Rhinolophus ferrumequinum: one gene and its partners. The protein of the gene in region 3 interacts with the protein of the main gene of each other region in a pairwise test. Links are inferred from orthologs where the notes say so. Each region holds a gene or a part of one and is shown on either strand. Other genes may lie near its edges.

Region 1 (4,991 bases), on a different chromosome or scaffold from region 3:
TTCAGGAGATGCCGAGTAGATAAGTGATCTCTCAGGTCAGACTAGTAGGGGAAAGTTTCCAAGAGCATATAAGTTTTGAGCACTGAATTGGAAATTTAAGGAGGTGATGGACATGAGTTGGTGGAAAGGTGGACCTTTTCAAACAAATGCACAAAGGGAGACAATGCAAGATATGAGTCAAGCCAGGACAGGTGCCTGCCCCACCCACCCTGCCCTTTCCCTGTCTCAGAGGCTCTGTGTGAACTGCCACCACACCTGTTCAGTTAGCAGAGAGCCCCCTGTGACCTCGTACCCACCAGGTCTCTTCTCTATCAAAGTCACCATTCACACAGCACTTACCAGGTACTGCAGGCTGTGCTGCGGGAGGAAGAGGCGCTCGCAGGAAATGGCTGCCTGGCATTGTGAACAACTGCATGTCGTCTCTCTAGTCTGGACCTCAGATAGGAGGAGTACATGGTCCACGACAGATGGAGGACACATCCTGTTGGAGTAGAAGGAGACAGGAATATGAAGAAGCAACGTGGTCATGTTACTGTGAGCAGACTAGTATCACTTTGAAGGCCCAACGTGCTGCCGCCTGTGCTGCCGCGTTGTATGGAAAGCCTTCCTGACAGGAGGAAGGCCTGCTCACCACAGAGCGACACAGCAAATGGTGTAGCACCAGGCGCTCTACAGACACGTGAAATTACAGACCCACCCCCAGGAGCTTGCCGTCTACCAGGAAAATTGGGACTGGATAGGCAGAACATACACATCATACATTTCTTAAAAAGCTGTCAAATGTACAAGTGCAATGTCATTCAACTCCTGATCCCATTCATTCAACCAACATTCACTGAATATCTTCGATGTGATCCCAAGTTGACAAAAGCAGAAAAGGGGACGGTGTTTCCAAGAAATCATGTGAAATTCTGACTTGTTGGAACTTAGTGTGCCCAGTGAAAGATGAAGCAAGAAAGGTGGGAAGTGGCCCGACTCTGAAGAGACCTGCGTGCCTTGCTAGGGAGGTTGAACTTTAGCACATAGACAATGGGGGAAATCAAAGGAAGTTTTAAGTAGGGAAACTGTGTGATCACATGGCCGTGAAAATGATCCCAGTTCTGCCTCCTAGCTGTGTGACTTTGGGCAAGTCACTACATCTCTTAGCATTAGTGTCTTTGTCTACAAAGTGGGGTTAATGGTCGTCCCCATCTCACAGGGTTGATTTGAGGAGTAAGTGAGCTTGTGTGTAGGTAAGGCAACGGGCACAGCGTCTGGCACATAATAGGCGCTCCGTACATTTTAGCTGTTATTACCAGGAAGGTTTCTCAGAAAGGTAACTTTCTTGGTAGCACCAAACATACAGTGCAGCGGGGGGTAAAGACTGATGGCAGGAGGTCCGATTAAGATGACACTGAAATTTAATCCGGTGACAAATCAGATCCTGAAAAGGGATTTGGATGTGGGAAGCTAGGGAGAAGAAAAGGTGAGGGGGGTCTAGCTAGGGAGATTGGGTAGATCAGGGTAGACCCATTTAGCAAATTCAGACCTAAGGGTAGCCAGCCGATAGGGGTGTGGGTGCAGAAACACATCGATGAGTTCAGTTTGGGACTTGTTGAATGAGAAAGGCAACGCGAAACGGGAGCCTGGAGGACATCAGTATTAAGGGAGAGATCAGAAGAGCCAGAGGAGAAAACTGATTGGTCAGCGGCCACAGAGTCAGTGTAACTGCTTCTGGGGGATGGAGAGAGGTGGGGGTACACTATCATCAGCTAACCTTTGGTTTATGTTAGGCAAGCCCGCCACCCAACTCCCCAACATGCTTACAGCCTGTTTTCTCGTCAGTTCTTTGCTTCTTGCTTCTCGGTTTTCTGCCTCTTGTAGAGACCGCGTTGTTGTTTGTTGTTTTGTTTTCCTTTTGCCCTCTCTTAACTGAAAGAGGGAAAGTTCTAGCATCTCTCAACACGATCACCTAGGATACCCCGAATATCAGGGAAGGGGGTGGGAAGGGGGTCAAGAGAGGGGTGGAGAGGGGATGGGAAAGACCACGAAGCAGGACGGGAAATGTAGTCCTCAAGCGTGAGCGGGATGGCACGACTGAAGAACTCGGTTTCCCAACTGGCTCTCCAGGCGCGTGCGCAGATGGCTGCCCCGGCGAGTGGTAAACAGAGACGCCAGGCGGGGGCTGTAGCTCGGAGCAAAACAAAAGGGAAACCCGGGGGGGCGGGGGGTGGGGGGGTTTGGTAGGGGAATTGGTGCGGGAATAGGAGAGGCTGGGGCCGCGGGGACGTGGACCTTCTTAAGAGTGGAGGGAAGGGAAGAGGCGGAGGAGGGGGAGTCAGGGGAGGGGCAAGTGACGCGGGGGAGCGGGGCGTGGGGGAGGGCAGCGATCGGGGTGGAGGAAATTTGGGAGGAGTGTCCGGGGGGCAGAAACTTAAAAGGGGGAGGGAACTGCGGCGAAGGAGACGTTCGGGGATGCGAGCGCAATGTATGAGGGGCTGTGGTGCCTCAGGTTTAAAAGAGCAGGAAGCTGAGTGAGAGAGGTCGGAGGAAAAGTGTCTTCGCTAGGCGGAGGTTACAGGTGGTGTCTCGGCAAGTGCTGGGAGGCTGGAGGCTGGAGGCGCGGAGAGGATCGGAGAGCTGTGTGGAGGGGACAGCTTAGGGGCTAGCGTCCTGCGGCGAGGACGAAGTTGGACTTTCTGAGGACTGGCGGGAATGTGCCTCCCGGCTCTGGGTGCTTCCCCCCTGGGGGGAGGCATCGTGAGGGTCTGTGGCAGGCTCCTCTGAGCGCTGGGCGGCTGAGGTCCACCTCCACGTATGGATCCAGGGAATGAGAATTCAGCCACACAGGCTGCCGTGATCGTGCACCTCGATCCCGACTTCGCACCCCAGAGCCGTCCCCGCTCCTGCACCTGGCCCCTTCCGCGACCAGAGCTTGCTTCCCAGCCGTCCGAGCCGCCCGAGGTGGAGCCAGGTCTGGGAGAGAAGGTACACACGGAGGGGCGCTCAGAGCCAACCCTGTTGCCCTCCCGGCTCCCAGAGCCGGCAGGGGGCCCCCAGCCGGGGATCCTGGGGGCCGTAACAGGTCCTCGGAAGGGAGGCTCCCGCCGGAATGCCTGGGGCAATCAGTCATATGCAGAGCTCATCAGCCAGGCCATTGAAAGCGCCCCGGAGAAGCGACTGACACTCGCCCAGATCTACGAGTGGATGGTCCGCACTGTGCCCTACTTCAAGGACAAGGGTGACAGCAACAGCTCAGCAGGATGGAAGGTAACTCCGACCCCCTCACCTCCACCCCAGTACCCTCTGCCTCGGGCCCCCAGCCTCATTACTGCCATTGGGGGGGGCCCTTTTACACCCACCCTCACCCCAGAGATCCACCTTCCATGGTCAATTAGGCAAACTTTTACTTAGGACATAGTATGTGCCACGCTCAGTGCTTGATGCTGGACGATCACAGATGAATAAGACACTGTCCTTGCCCTGGAGAAAATTGAATTCCCTGCTCACTGCTCAACACTCCAGGCACAAGTGTTGGCTTGGGCTGCCCCAAACACTTATTCCCACAGAGAAGTCTTTATCCTCTGTGCTGTGTGGATTCTCCGAAGAGTGCAGCCTTCCCTCCTCCCCCACCCTCCCACCCCAACACCTCTTCTCCCGTTCCTGTGGGATGACTTGGACTCCCTGCTTGTCCCCCAATACCTCAAGGTAGAGGTTCTGTCCCAAAACTCCTCTACCCAAGAAGAGGGAGTGGAGTTGGCAAAAGGTAAGAAGAGTGCTGATATTCAGGGGGTAACGTAGCTGATCTTACGCACTAAGAAAAAAGGGGCTGTGAGCTGATACCTGCCTCAGTTTACCCTATAATGCCAAGCAACTCCCCCTGGTAAGGGGCTCTCCAGTTTTGGGGGGAGAGCTGTCATTTACTGTTAAGGAATATTAATCATGGGGAAAAAAAGGCAGAGGGTTCTGACTTCAGAGCGCAGAGAAGAAAGTGAGCTAAGGAGCTCGCTAGGTGCTCTGAAAACTTGTCTTGAGAACTATGGGGCTCTAATCACGAAACTGCGGAGCTTCAACCCCTATTAATGTCTTGTACGACCATAGGTGGTGAGATCAGCGCGCCCTTAAGGAAGTACACAGGGTTGAATGAGCAGTCTCCCCCAGGTATAAGAGGTCGAGGGGTCCGATCTGCTGGGTGGCCGGGAAACAGGACAGCTGATGGAGACCCCTGGCACTATTTCTGGGTAGACTGCCACGCCACAGTCTCAGCTCATAAAGAGCTCCCCTCCTTGGTCCCAGCCTACACAGCTGTTTTTCTTTTCCTTTAGGTTCATTTTCCAGGGTAGAAGGAATAACCATGAGTTGGTAGTTATGCTGTGGGAGTAGTTCCTCCTTATAATTTACACTTATACGGGGCTTTTCAGTTTACAAAGTGGATTTTTAGTTTTTTTTATTCTATTAGTCTTCACAGCAATTCTGAGATTCCACATGTTGCATATTAGGAAAGTAAGGTATAGAAAGGTTAGGAAACTTGCCTAATGTCATTAGAATGAGGACTTGAAGTCAGGCCTAACTTTAAATCATATGCTATTGCTGTTTGTCCATGCTGCAACTTCTCTTCACTGGAGTGATGACAAAGCCAGTCAGACTGAGCCTGGGGCCTCTAAGACCCCCCACCCCACTCCAAGGGGGAACCCTCACGCCTGAACTGGCTTACCTGATGATGTACCAAGGTAACTGCCACCCCACCAGGGGGCGGCACCCACTTAGAACAAGAAAGCTTAGTTCAGTGGCTTGGGGAGCAATTAGCAGTCACCCCCTTGCAACAGGTAAGAATTATGGGCTCCTAGGAAGCTGACCTCTCCAGGTAGGTGGCTGTACCATGTATAGTTCTAAGACTTAAAGACTGGACGAAGAGCTGGGCCTCATGGCTACTGAGTAGTAGGGAAAGGAATGGGCCTTCTCAGTAGACCCAGAGTTAGAGGATGAAAAGACGGGCGATCATGGTGCGGAAA
Region 2 (4,991 bases), on a different chromosome or scaffold from region 3:
GGGAGTCTGGGAGCCAGCAGGGGCAGAAGGCCTTCAGAATGCATTGGGGTGGTGGTGGGGGAAGGATAGAGGGGCTTAGGGAAGTAGGGGAGACTCCAAGACGATTGACGGAATGCTCAGTGTGTGAGCCCCCCAGCCACAGGTAACTGTGCAGGCCATGAAGTGCTTGCTGAAGGAGTATGGGAGGCAGTTGCCTGCAGGCCTCCCTGGCCTCTGGTTTGTGTCAAGAGGGCTGCAGAAAGGTTATTGTTAAGCTAAAGTTGCAAAGTCACAGAGGGACCAGTAGGATCTGTGGCTGGGGCAGACCTCACTGGATGATGATTCTCATGACCACTCCAAACTTTTGTACCATCCCAGCAACTGGAGTCTTCTTCCTGCGACACGATTTAATGAGAAGGCTTACCACCATTCTCTCATTAAAGGAGAAATGCTTAAGGGAATTATTTGTCTAGAGCCTATACTGAAGTGTGTATTCAGAGCTGAGAGGCAATAAATTGACAACTGACCCAAGGACTTATGCTCAGTCTTTAGGATTTTGGGGTTTTAGAATTCACGAGTTGGGCAAATCTGACTATAGATCGCCTATACACCAAGAATTTCAGTTTTGATAATGGAAAGTACCCTGATCAGCTATATATGCCCTTTGCAAATAACAGACAATTCAGAGGACTATAAAGCATCAAGTGAAAATCCTCCGTTATCATTCATTCACCAGAGATAAACAATTTCAACCATTTGGTGTCTTTCCTTCCAGGCTGGCAACAAAATAAACATGACTAACACAATGGGTACCATGTGGATTCTTTTTAAACTTTTTTTTTTACTTACTATATCAAAGAATCCATAGATCTTTCTTAGCCAATATATACAATTCTCTATTTTTTAAAAATGTTACAATACGGTGAGATTTTAGGGTGATACCTTTCGCTAAAACCATCCTTGATGCAGACGTATTTGGACTTAACTCACCCCCCCCCCCTTTATTCCCCCTGGATCCTGCGGGCACTAGGCTCAAAGTGCTGAAGCTTCATTTTTCACACACAAGTCTCTTATTTCACTCGCACACGTCGAGTCTTCTACATCTCATTTGGTGCTTCCACAGCTGGCAACCCGACCACGCGTTGGAAGAAGGGTCTCAGCCTCCTCCTGGAGAGTCACGAGGCGCCGTTCAGGGTCCGGCGGTTTACCAACTTGACGTTCTTCCTTGACTTTTCAGGTCGCCGGCTAGTGACCTCTCTTTTCCCCCACCTGACTGGCTCCTCGCTAGTACCGCCGTCCCCAGCACTCCCGGCCCCGCCCCACCTGGAACCCGCGCCGCCAGCACCGCCCCGCCCTGGCTCCACCGGTCCCGGCCCCCTCTACCGGAATCGCGCGGTCCTCGCCGGAGTTCAGTCCGCGGGAAACTTAAGCCGCTCACCCAACCCCAGACCCGCCCACTTTGCCCTGGCTCCACCCTCCCGTAACTAGCCCTGCGCGTCCCGCCCAGGCACCGCCCACCGGAACCAGCTCCGCCTGCACAGGGCCGTCCTGGGCCCGCTCTTTCAGCCCCTAGCTCCACCCACCGGAACTTGCCCCGCTCTTGTGGACCCAGAGCTCCAAGAACCTGAGCCGCTCGCCCCGCCCAGATTCCGCGTGCTCGTGCCAGGCTCCACCACTCGGGAACTGCACCAGCTGCCCCGGCTCCGCCCACTCCGCTTCGAGAGCCTGTGCGGGCTGCTGCACGCCAGCTTCGTCCCCAAAGCGCGCCTGGGGGGCTGGACCAGTTGGCGCGCTTCAGGCCCGTGCCCTGGCCCAAGCCACCATGGAGGGGGATGTCCCCGACGCCGCAGCCGCCAGCTACCAGCCGGCCAGCCCTCCAAGGGATGCCTGTGTCTACAACAGCTGCTACTGGTGAGGGGGCGCGGGTGCAAACGCTAGCATCTCCGTGGCTGCCGCGACGTCGCCGCTAGGCCCCGCCTCTTCCCGGCTCCTCCCCCGGGCTCTCTGGGCCTCTACTGGCGGGTTTTCCGGTTTGGCGCAGAGGACGCCGGAATGGTAGCTCGCGTCTTTTGAGTGGAACGTGGGCATTTGGATGGGGGTGGGGGTGGGGGTGCGGAATTCGCCAGTAATGGTCGAGTCGGCAGTGTATTACTTTTGCCTGGCGCTTTTCGCTTGGACGTTTCTCAGCGGGTCTCAGTGCTTGTGGGCTAGGAAGGGGAGGCAGAGGCGGAGGGTGGAGCGCAGAGAGCCTAGAAATTACTTTGCCTGAGCTTGTGTTGTGTCACACTGATGTGATGGTCATTTTAATTTCGGAAGAGAATGGAGGCACAGAGATTTTGCTGTAACTTTCCCAAGGTCACCCAGTTAATAGTATCCAGAAATCCATTTCAGGCCCTCTTGTACCAAAAACCACGGTCTTAACTACCATGTTGTCATAATGGTTACACTTACATAGTACTCGCTATATGCCAAACATTGTGCTGAGTGGTTTATGTAAACGGATTCATTTATGCCCCGCAATTGCCTTAGGAGGTAAGTATTGTTATCCTCATTTTGAAGATGAGAACACTGAAGCACAGAGGGCTGCAAGTAAACTTGTCTGAGGCCACATGGCTTGTAAGTGAAAGAATGGGGATTTGTGAGTAGAGTACGGCCCTGGAGTCCACACATTGTACCCCTGTCCTAGGCCACCTCTGTGGCTGAATCACAGTTCCTACCTTGGTCCTTTTCACTCCCACACCTACCCTTTCCTTGCCTGTGTAATGACTTCTTCCCCACTTCCAGTCCCTTTACAAGAAACGGCAGGGCCACCTAAAACTATCTTTCCCTCCTTCAGCTGGTCACCAAACCAGTGCCACCCAGAGCTTAACGTTTGTTCAGCTCTGACTGCTTATCAGGCCCAGTGCCAAATGCTTTCTTCCATCCATGCCTAGGAGATAGGTTCTATTACTCATTTCTCTCATTTTACTAATGAAAAGACAGCCACAGAGAGGCTTGTTGTTGGCCCAAGATCAGCCATTTAGCAAGCGGTAGTCCTGAAACCAACCTCTGTAATGCTGGAGTCCATGCTTGAGTACTGCACTTTATTTCTGCCCTCCCGCTCACCTAAATCCTATTAGTTCTTGTCCCTAACGTCCATTCATTTGTTTTATTCTTTCACTAAGTATTTATTAGACATTTGGAGTGTGTAATGCACGATTTAAGGTACTAAGGATACAGCAGTGAACAAAATAGACAAAAGTCCCTGGTAAGATCTCATGGTTCTTACATTTTAGTTGGGGAAAAGCAGACAAAAACAAACCATGCTTAGGTGTTGTTGAGTGTTATGAGAAAATTAAAACAAGGTAAAGGATGGAGACTTACTATTTTATATTAGGATATTTAAGGAAGACATTGTTGATAAAACGATCTTTGAACAGATCTGAAGAAAAAGGGCGGAAACGTCGTGGATATTGGTGGGAGATCATTCCAGGCAGAGAAACAGCAGGTGCAAAGGCTCTGAGAAGGAAACAAGCCATGACTATTCTAGAAAACAAGGAGGCTGACACGGTTGGAGTGGAGGGATTTGGTGGAAGAATGGTAGGAGATGAGCGTCTCTTCAGTAGATCATCTTTTTGAGTTCCTTCTACCGTCGGTCAGATCCTCCTTGACTTGCTTGCTGTTGGGGGCATTTTCCAGTCCTTCCTAACAGGTCTCTCTGCTCAGCTCTCCCATATCCTGTCAGGTCTAACTTCTTTACACGTCTCAAAGCCATCATGAATTTGAATGTGCCAGAGAATCAGCTGGGAGCTTGGAAAACATACAGCTCTTAGGATCCACCCCCTCACCCCCGAGTCTGGATGTGTGAGCGGCACAGTGGAGCAGTCTGAGTCTGGCCTGACGGTCACATATCAGGGAATACAGACGTAGATAATAAAGTCTGTCCCCTGAGCATAGCAGGCCCTCTAAGGTCTGCTCACTGTCTGTTCCTCCAAAACCTCATTTTGAACTTGGCTTCCCTGCCCTACCCCAGAGTTTCTCAACCTTGACTCTGTTGGCATCTTGACCATGTTAATTCCTTGTTGTGGGGACTGTCCTGTGTATTGTAGGATGTGTAGCAGCATCCCTGGCCTGTCCCCACTAGAGGCCCATAGCATCCTCTCCCAATGTGTGACCACCAAAAATGTCTCCAGACATTGCCAAATGTCCCCTGGAGGCAAATCGTCTCTGATTGTGGACCAGTGCCTTACCCTGTCTGAACATGTGGGCTGGGTGCACCTTACTACACTTGCTCCTGTGGGTACTTCTAACTTGAAATAAACGTTGCCTCTACTTCTGTTAGTTTCTGTCAGATGTTAACTTATCTTTTAAGACCCAGCTTAGGGATAATAGTGGTGGCCGATGTTTGTGTGACACTGTGCGGTTTGCAGAACATTTCTGATTCTGTTGCAATTGTTTTGTGTTTTTCAATCAGTTATTGAGCACCTACTGTGTGCCAGGAATCCTTGTCCGCATGTCTTTCTGAACTCAGCCTATCACCAGTAACCCTTAAAGTAACCATGGGCCCTAATGCTGCTTTATTAGCCTTTCTGCTGCCAAAACAGTCAATTGACAGGTTGGAACATTTTTGTCATCATTCCCCACTTTTTTTTGACCAGTTAAGTGGGTGCCAGGATTCACACCAAATCCAGGGCTCTTTCTATTCCAAATGACTCCCAGTGTTTCCAAGTATATAAGGTCCTCTTTTTTATTAACATCAAAAGTATCATGAGATCTTTCTACATGATATTAATTGTACTCTTGAAAACAAAATGGACATAAAAAGGGACTACAAGTTCAGTAACTCGTATGTTTAAATTTATTTTTCCTCTGTGCAACATTCACACATATTTAAAAAACAATTGGCAAAGTGTGTCCAAGCCACATGTGTATTCAGCCTGCCAATAGTGCTTGTATATATGGATTCATGAACTTTTTGCTTCAACTCTGCCCATCCTTGGGATGGAGGGAAGGGGAGCAAACAAAGAAAGACC
Region 3 (4,188 bases):
AGAAACTCTTGGCTGACACGAGGACAGCGACCCAACAAAGAAGGATAGAAGGCTGGCAACAGAGAAGTCTCTATCTCCAAGGCCCCGGTCAAGGGTCATCGGTGGAGCCATGGTCAAAGGGAAGGGACCGGAAAACTTCTAAGAAGCAGGCTGTGGGAGGCGGAACTCAGCTGGGACTGTTGCTCTATAAAACAAAATGGTATATGTCACTGCCACCTCCTTTTTCTTGGTCCTGTTTCTCTGTCCAGTTGCTAGCATCCCCCCTGGGTAACCAAACTGAGCTGAGCACCTAGGTGGCCTGCTTCCCAGCCTTTGGCAGAAAGCGGGATGGGTCAGGCATGAAAGTGGGACAGCCAGTTAGCCTGTCCCCCATCCTCTGTAAGCCCTACTGATACAGGATGGCAGGTGACTTGGAGGGGGCAGGTGACCTGGCGTGGAGAGCCAGAGGGTAAGTCCTCGAACAAGTCGCAACAGGCCACCAACTTGAAAGGGAAAATTGTGCTGTGATGGGAAATGTGTTCAACAAACCTACTGGGTGACTAATTACAAAGGCTGGGCCGGAGCGTCAGAGGCCGCTTGTTAAACACCTCATTAAGTGGCACCATGAAAGCTGCCACCAGTGCATTCTGGGAGCTCCGAGGGGGAATGAGGATGGGATAGAACCTTTTGAGGTAGATTCCAGAAGAAGCTTGGATCTCACTTCTAAATACAGCCTGGAGCTCACAAGTCAGAAGCCTCAATGGGGGAGAAACCAAAGGAAGTATTTAGGATGCAGGGGACTTAGTAGCTGTGTGACCTTGAGCAAATCTCATCCCTCTCTGAGCCTTAGTATTCCTATCTCTAAAGTGGGGTAGTAGTCACAGTCCTGCCCACCTCACAGAGACATACATAATAGGGATTAAATTAGATCGTGGATATAAAGGTGCTTGGGAAACTATACAGCTCTACCTACACATGAATGATATCACCTGAACCAAGGGGCAAACGTACTTGGCAGGATTAGGAACCCCATCCTTCTACAACCTGGCTTTATGGGGTCTGTCTAGGCTGAAGTGACCAGGTGGCCAGGTGGTTGAAGCCATCCTTAGCCCCTGAAAGGACACCATGAAGGAAAATCTGATTTGAGAAACTGGGGCAGTTACCTAATAGGGACACCTATGTAATGGAAACCTTGAATGAGGGGGCAGCCTGGAGCCTGGAAGGTGCCTGTGCAGGTGGGACCAAACCCTAATTTCTCCTGCTGACTGTACGATGACTCATTCCACATCCCAGCCCTCTTACCTTTAAGGAAGAGCCGGAAAGGGTGTGGGGAGGAGAGGGAAGTAGGTCTTCAGCCTCAGTCCCGCCCCTTACCCCTCCCTCCCCACCCTGCTCGGGGCCAGGCCACCCAGCCAAAAGGCAGGCTGAGAGCAGGAGAGCCACAGAGTCCAGCACTGGTCCTGAGGCAGCCAGTTACCCTGCCACCGTCTGTCTGTCCGTCCCCAGAGCCAATGGAGAGAGCCAGTCTGATCCAGAAGGCCAAGTTGGCAGAACAGGCCGAACGCTATGAGGACATGGCAGCCTTCATGAAGAGTGCCGTGGAAAAGGGTGAGGAGCTATCCTGTGAAGAGCGAAACCTGCTGTCAGTGGCCTACAAGAATGAGGTGGGTGGCCAGAGGGCTGCCTGGAGGGTCCTGTCCAGTATCGAGCAGAAAAGCAATGAGGAGGGCTCGGAGGAGAAGGGTCCGGAGGTGCAAGAGTACCGGGAGATGGTGGAGACTGAGCTCCGGAGAGTGTGCCACACGGTGCTGGAACTGCTGGACAGCCACCTCATCAAGACGGCTGGTGATGCTGAAAGCCGGGTCTTCTACCTGAAAATGAAGGGCGACTATTACCGTTACCTGGCCGAGGTGGCCACTGGCGATGACAAGAAGCGCATCATTGACTCAGCCCGGTCAGCCTACCAGGAAGCCATGGACATCAGCAAGAAGGAGATGGCGCCCACCAACCCCATCCGCCTGGGCCTGGCCCTGAACTTTTCTGTCTTCCACTACGAGATCGCCAACAGCCCCGAGGAGGCCATCTCACTGGCCAAGACCACCTTCGACGAGGCCATGGCTGACCTGCACACCCTCAGCGAGGACTCCTACAAAGACAGCACCCTCATCATGCAGCTGCTGCGAGACAACCTGACCCTGTGGACAGCCGACAACGCCGGAGAAGAGGGAGGCGAGGCACCTGAGGAGCCCCAGAGCTGAGCCGAACCTGCTCCCCTCCCTGCCCTGCCCTGCCCTGCCCGCTCCAGTCCCCCGCCCCTGGCAGAGAGGACTAGTATGGGGTGAGAAGCCCAACCTTTCTCCCCAATGCTCTGCCCCCCCCAGCTCAGAGAGGCTCCACAGAGAGGGACCAGCAGAGCTGAGGCCACCTGGAGCCAGAGGATCCCACTCTTCCTGCAGCTGTCGTGTGCTCCTAACCCACCCACTCCTGCTCTCTGCACCCCCGCTTCGAGACTCTCCCTCCCTGTGAACCGGGCCACTTCTTTCCCACTCTTGACTCCCTCCTGCCCCTGCAGCCTCTGGATCTTAGGAATTGAGGAGTGTCCACCCTTGTAGTGGAGAAATGGACCGTGTGACAGGCTGGAGATGAGTGTGTGTGTGCGTGTGTGAGAGAGAGACCGACCCAGAATGAGAGGGAAAGCATGTCTGCTGGGTGTGGCAGTGTTTCTCTCAATAAAGTTCCCCTGTGACACTCCTCCTGTCTTTTCCAGTTATTGGTGGAGGGCTGGGACTGAGGTTGGCGTCTGATTTACAGAAAGCCTGACTTTGGACCTCTGATTTAGGGTCCTAACCTCCCATGGAGCTGGCTCAGTCACCTGCAGGCAAGACTTTGGAGCCGGTGACTCCAGGTGAGGGGTGGGGGTCCAGCTCTCTCCATCAGGGTGATCCCAAACAAAATAACTGGTCTGGTCGCAGGAGGGTCAGGTGAACCCAAAGGTGGCTGAGTCTCCTCTGCTGAAGAGCTCAGATCTGAGGGGACAGGGAACCAGTGAAGTATCAGGTGTGAGGTCTGAGTACAGCGCCGCATGGATATACAGTAGTGAGCTGCATTGAACACCACCCATTTGAAAGCGAGGAATAGTCCCATCAGGGAAATGCTCAGATCTGAGAGGCGGGCATACGTTATGGGGGAGGAGTGTGACGCCGCCATTAACCGCCCAGCTCCGAGGAGAGGGAAACGCCCCCTAGCGTTGGCAGATGGCCATAAAATGAAATGGGCTGACGGGGAGGGGGCGCGAGCTGGGTGGGAGCGGAGGCCAGTCCTGGCCAGCCGAGCCTGCCGCCTCCGCTCCCAGCTGCAACACGCCAGAGCCTGCGGCCACCTCGCTCTCTCCCGCCTTAACAGCTCAGGCTGGAGGCGGGCCCGAGGCCGATATAGTCCAATCACTGGACAGGGCTCCTCGGGTTACCGCCCCCGGGGCCAGACTGACCAATGGGATAATGTGCGGTGGACGCGCGCGGCGCGTCTTCCCGACGCCCGCCCAGCCCTGCGAGTGCGGCGACGCGCTGCGGGACTGAGTGGCCCCGCCACCCGCCGAGCGCTGGGGGCGGTGCTTTCCGGGTTTCACTTAGACGAGTTGCTACCTGCCTCGCGCCAGTTCGGCATCAGAGCAACGGGACGGGGCGGTGCGGAATAAGCAGTCCCTTCCCTTTGAGTCATCTGCTTAACCTGCGGTGCCTGGTGGGCAAGGCCGGCTTGGAAAAGGCCACCAAGGCATCCCCACCACATATCAGAGTCCAGGCAGCCCTGAACTGGTGGCCAGGAGGCTTGGATTGTGTCCTTGACTTGGTTGTGTGACCTTGGAAAAGCTATTATACCTCCCTGGACCTCAGTTTCCCCTTCTGTATCAAAAGAGGCTTGAACTAAAGACAATGAAAAACACGTGAATCTGGGTTCTGGACTCAAACTGCCTGGGTTTCTTTCCAGCCGGCCTTGGCCAAGGCTTTTAACCTTGCTTACTTTTGTGTCCTCATTTGTAAAGTGGGGATAAAAAAAAGTAGTACCTTCCTCTTTAGAGTTGCTGTGAAGTTTGAGAAAATAAATGCACTTAAAGTAGCCCATAGCACGTGTTAGCTATTGTTAATCCTTCTAGCATCAATAGTCGAGAATTTACCCAGCACTTCTGTGCCAAAAGCAGCAGCATCAGTCAGG

Evidence for each region.
Region 1: the proteins of SFN (region 3) and FOXO4 interact in binary tests that used the Homo sapiens proteins (3 or more experiments, as listed by UniProt). The link is inferred for Rhinolophus ferrumequinum from reciprocal best matches to the Homo sapiens genes SFN and FOXO4.
Region 2: the proteins of SFN (region 3) and NTAQ1 interact in binary tests that used the Homo sapiens proteins (3 or more experiments, as listed by UniProt). The two-hybrid records come from large-scale screens. The link is inferred for Rhinolophus ferrumequinum from reciprocal best matches to the Homo sapiens genes SFN and NTAQ1.

Annotation. Positions count from the first base shown.
Region 1 is NC_046284.1:1,868,724-1,873,714, reverse strand, and holds the start of FOXO4 (forkhead box protein O4), read left to right. Parts: upstream 1-2,117; 5' UTR 2,118-2,796; coding exon 2,797-3,249; intron 3,250-4,991. UniProt on the Homo sapiens protein: Transcription factor involved in the regulation of the insulin signaling pathway. Binds to insulin-response elements (IREs) and can activate transcription of IGFBP1.
Region 2 is NC_046297.1:60,735,855-60,740,845, forward strand, and holds the start of NTAQ1 (protein N-terminal glutamine amidohydrolase), read left to right. Parts: upstream 1-1,564; 5' UTR 1,565-1,801; coding exon 1,802-1,890; intron 1,891-1,897; exon of another isoform or gene 1,898-2,034; intron 2,035-4,991. UniProt on the Homo sapiens protein: Mediates the side-chain deamidation of N-terminal glutamine residues to glutamate, an important step in N-end rule pathway of protein degradation.
Region 3 is NC_046292.1:18,397,922-18,402,109, forward strand, and holds SFN (14-3-3 protein sigma), read left to right. Parts: upstream 1-1,372; 5' UTR 1,373-1,490; coding exon 1,491-2,237; 3' UTR 2,238-2,730; downstream 2,731-4,188. UniProt on the Homo sapiens protein: Adapter protein implicated in the regulation of a large spectrum of both general and specialized signaling pathways. Binds to a large number of partners, usually by recognition of a phosphoserine or phosphothreonine motif.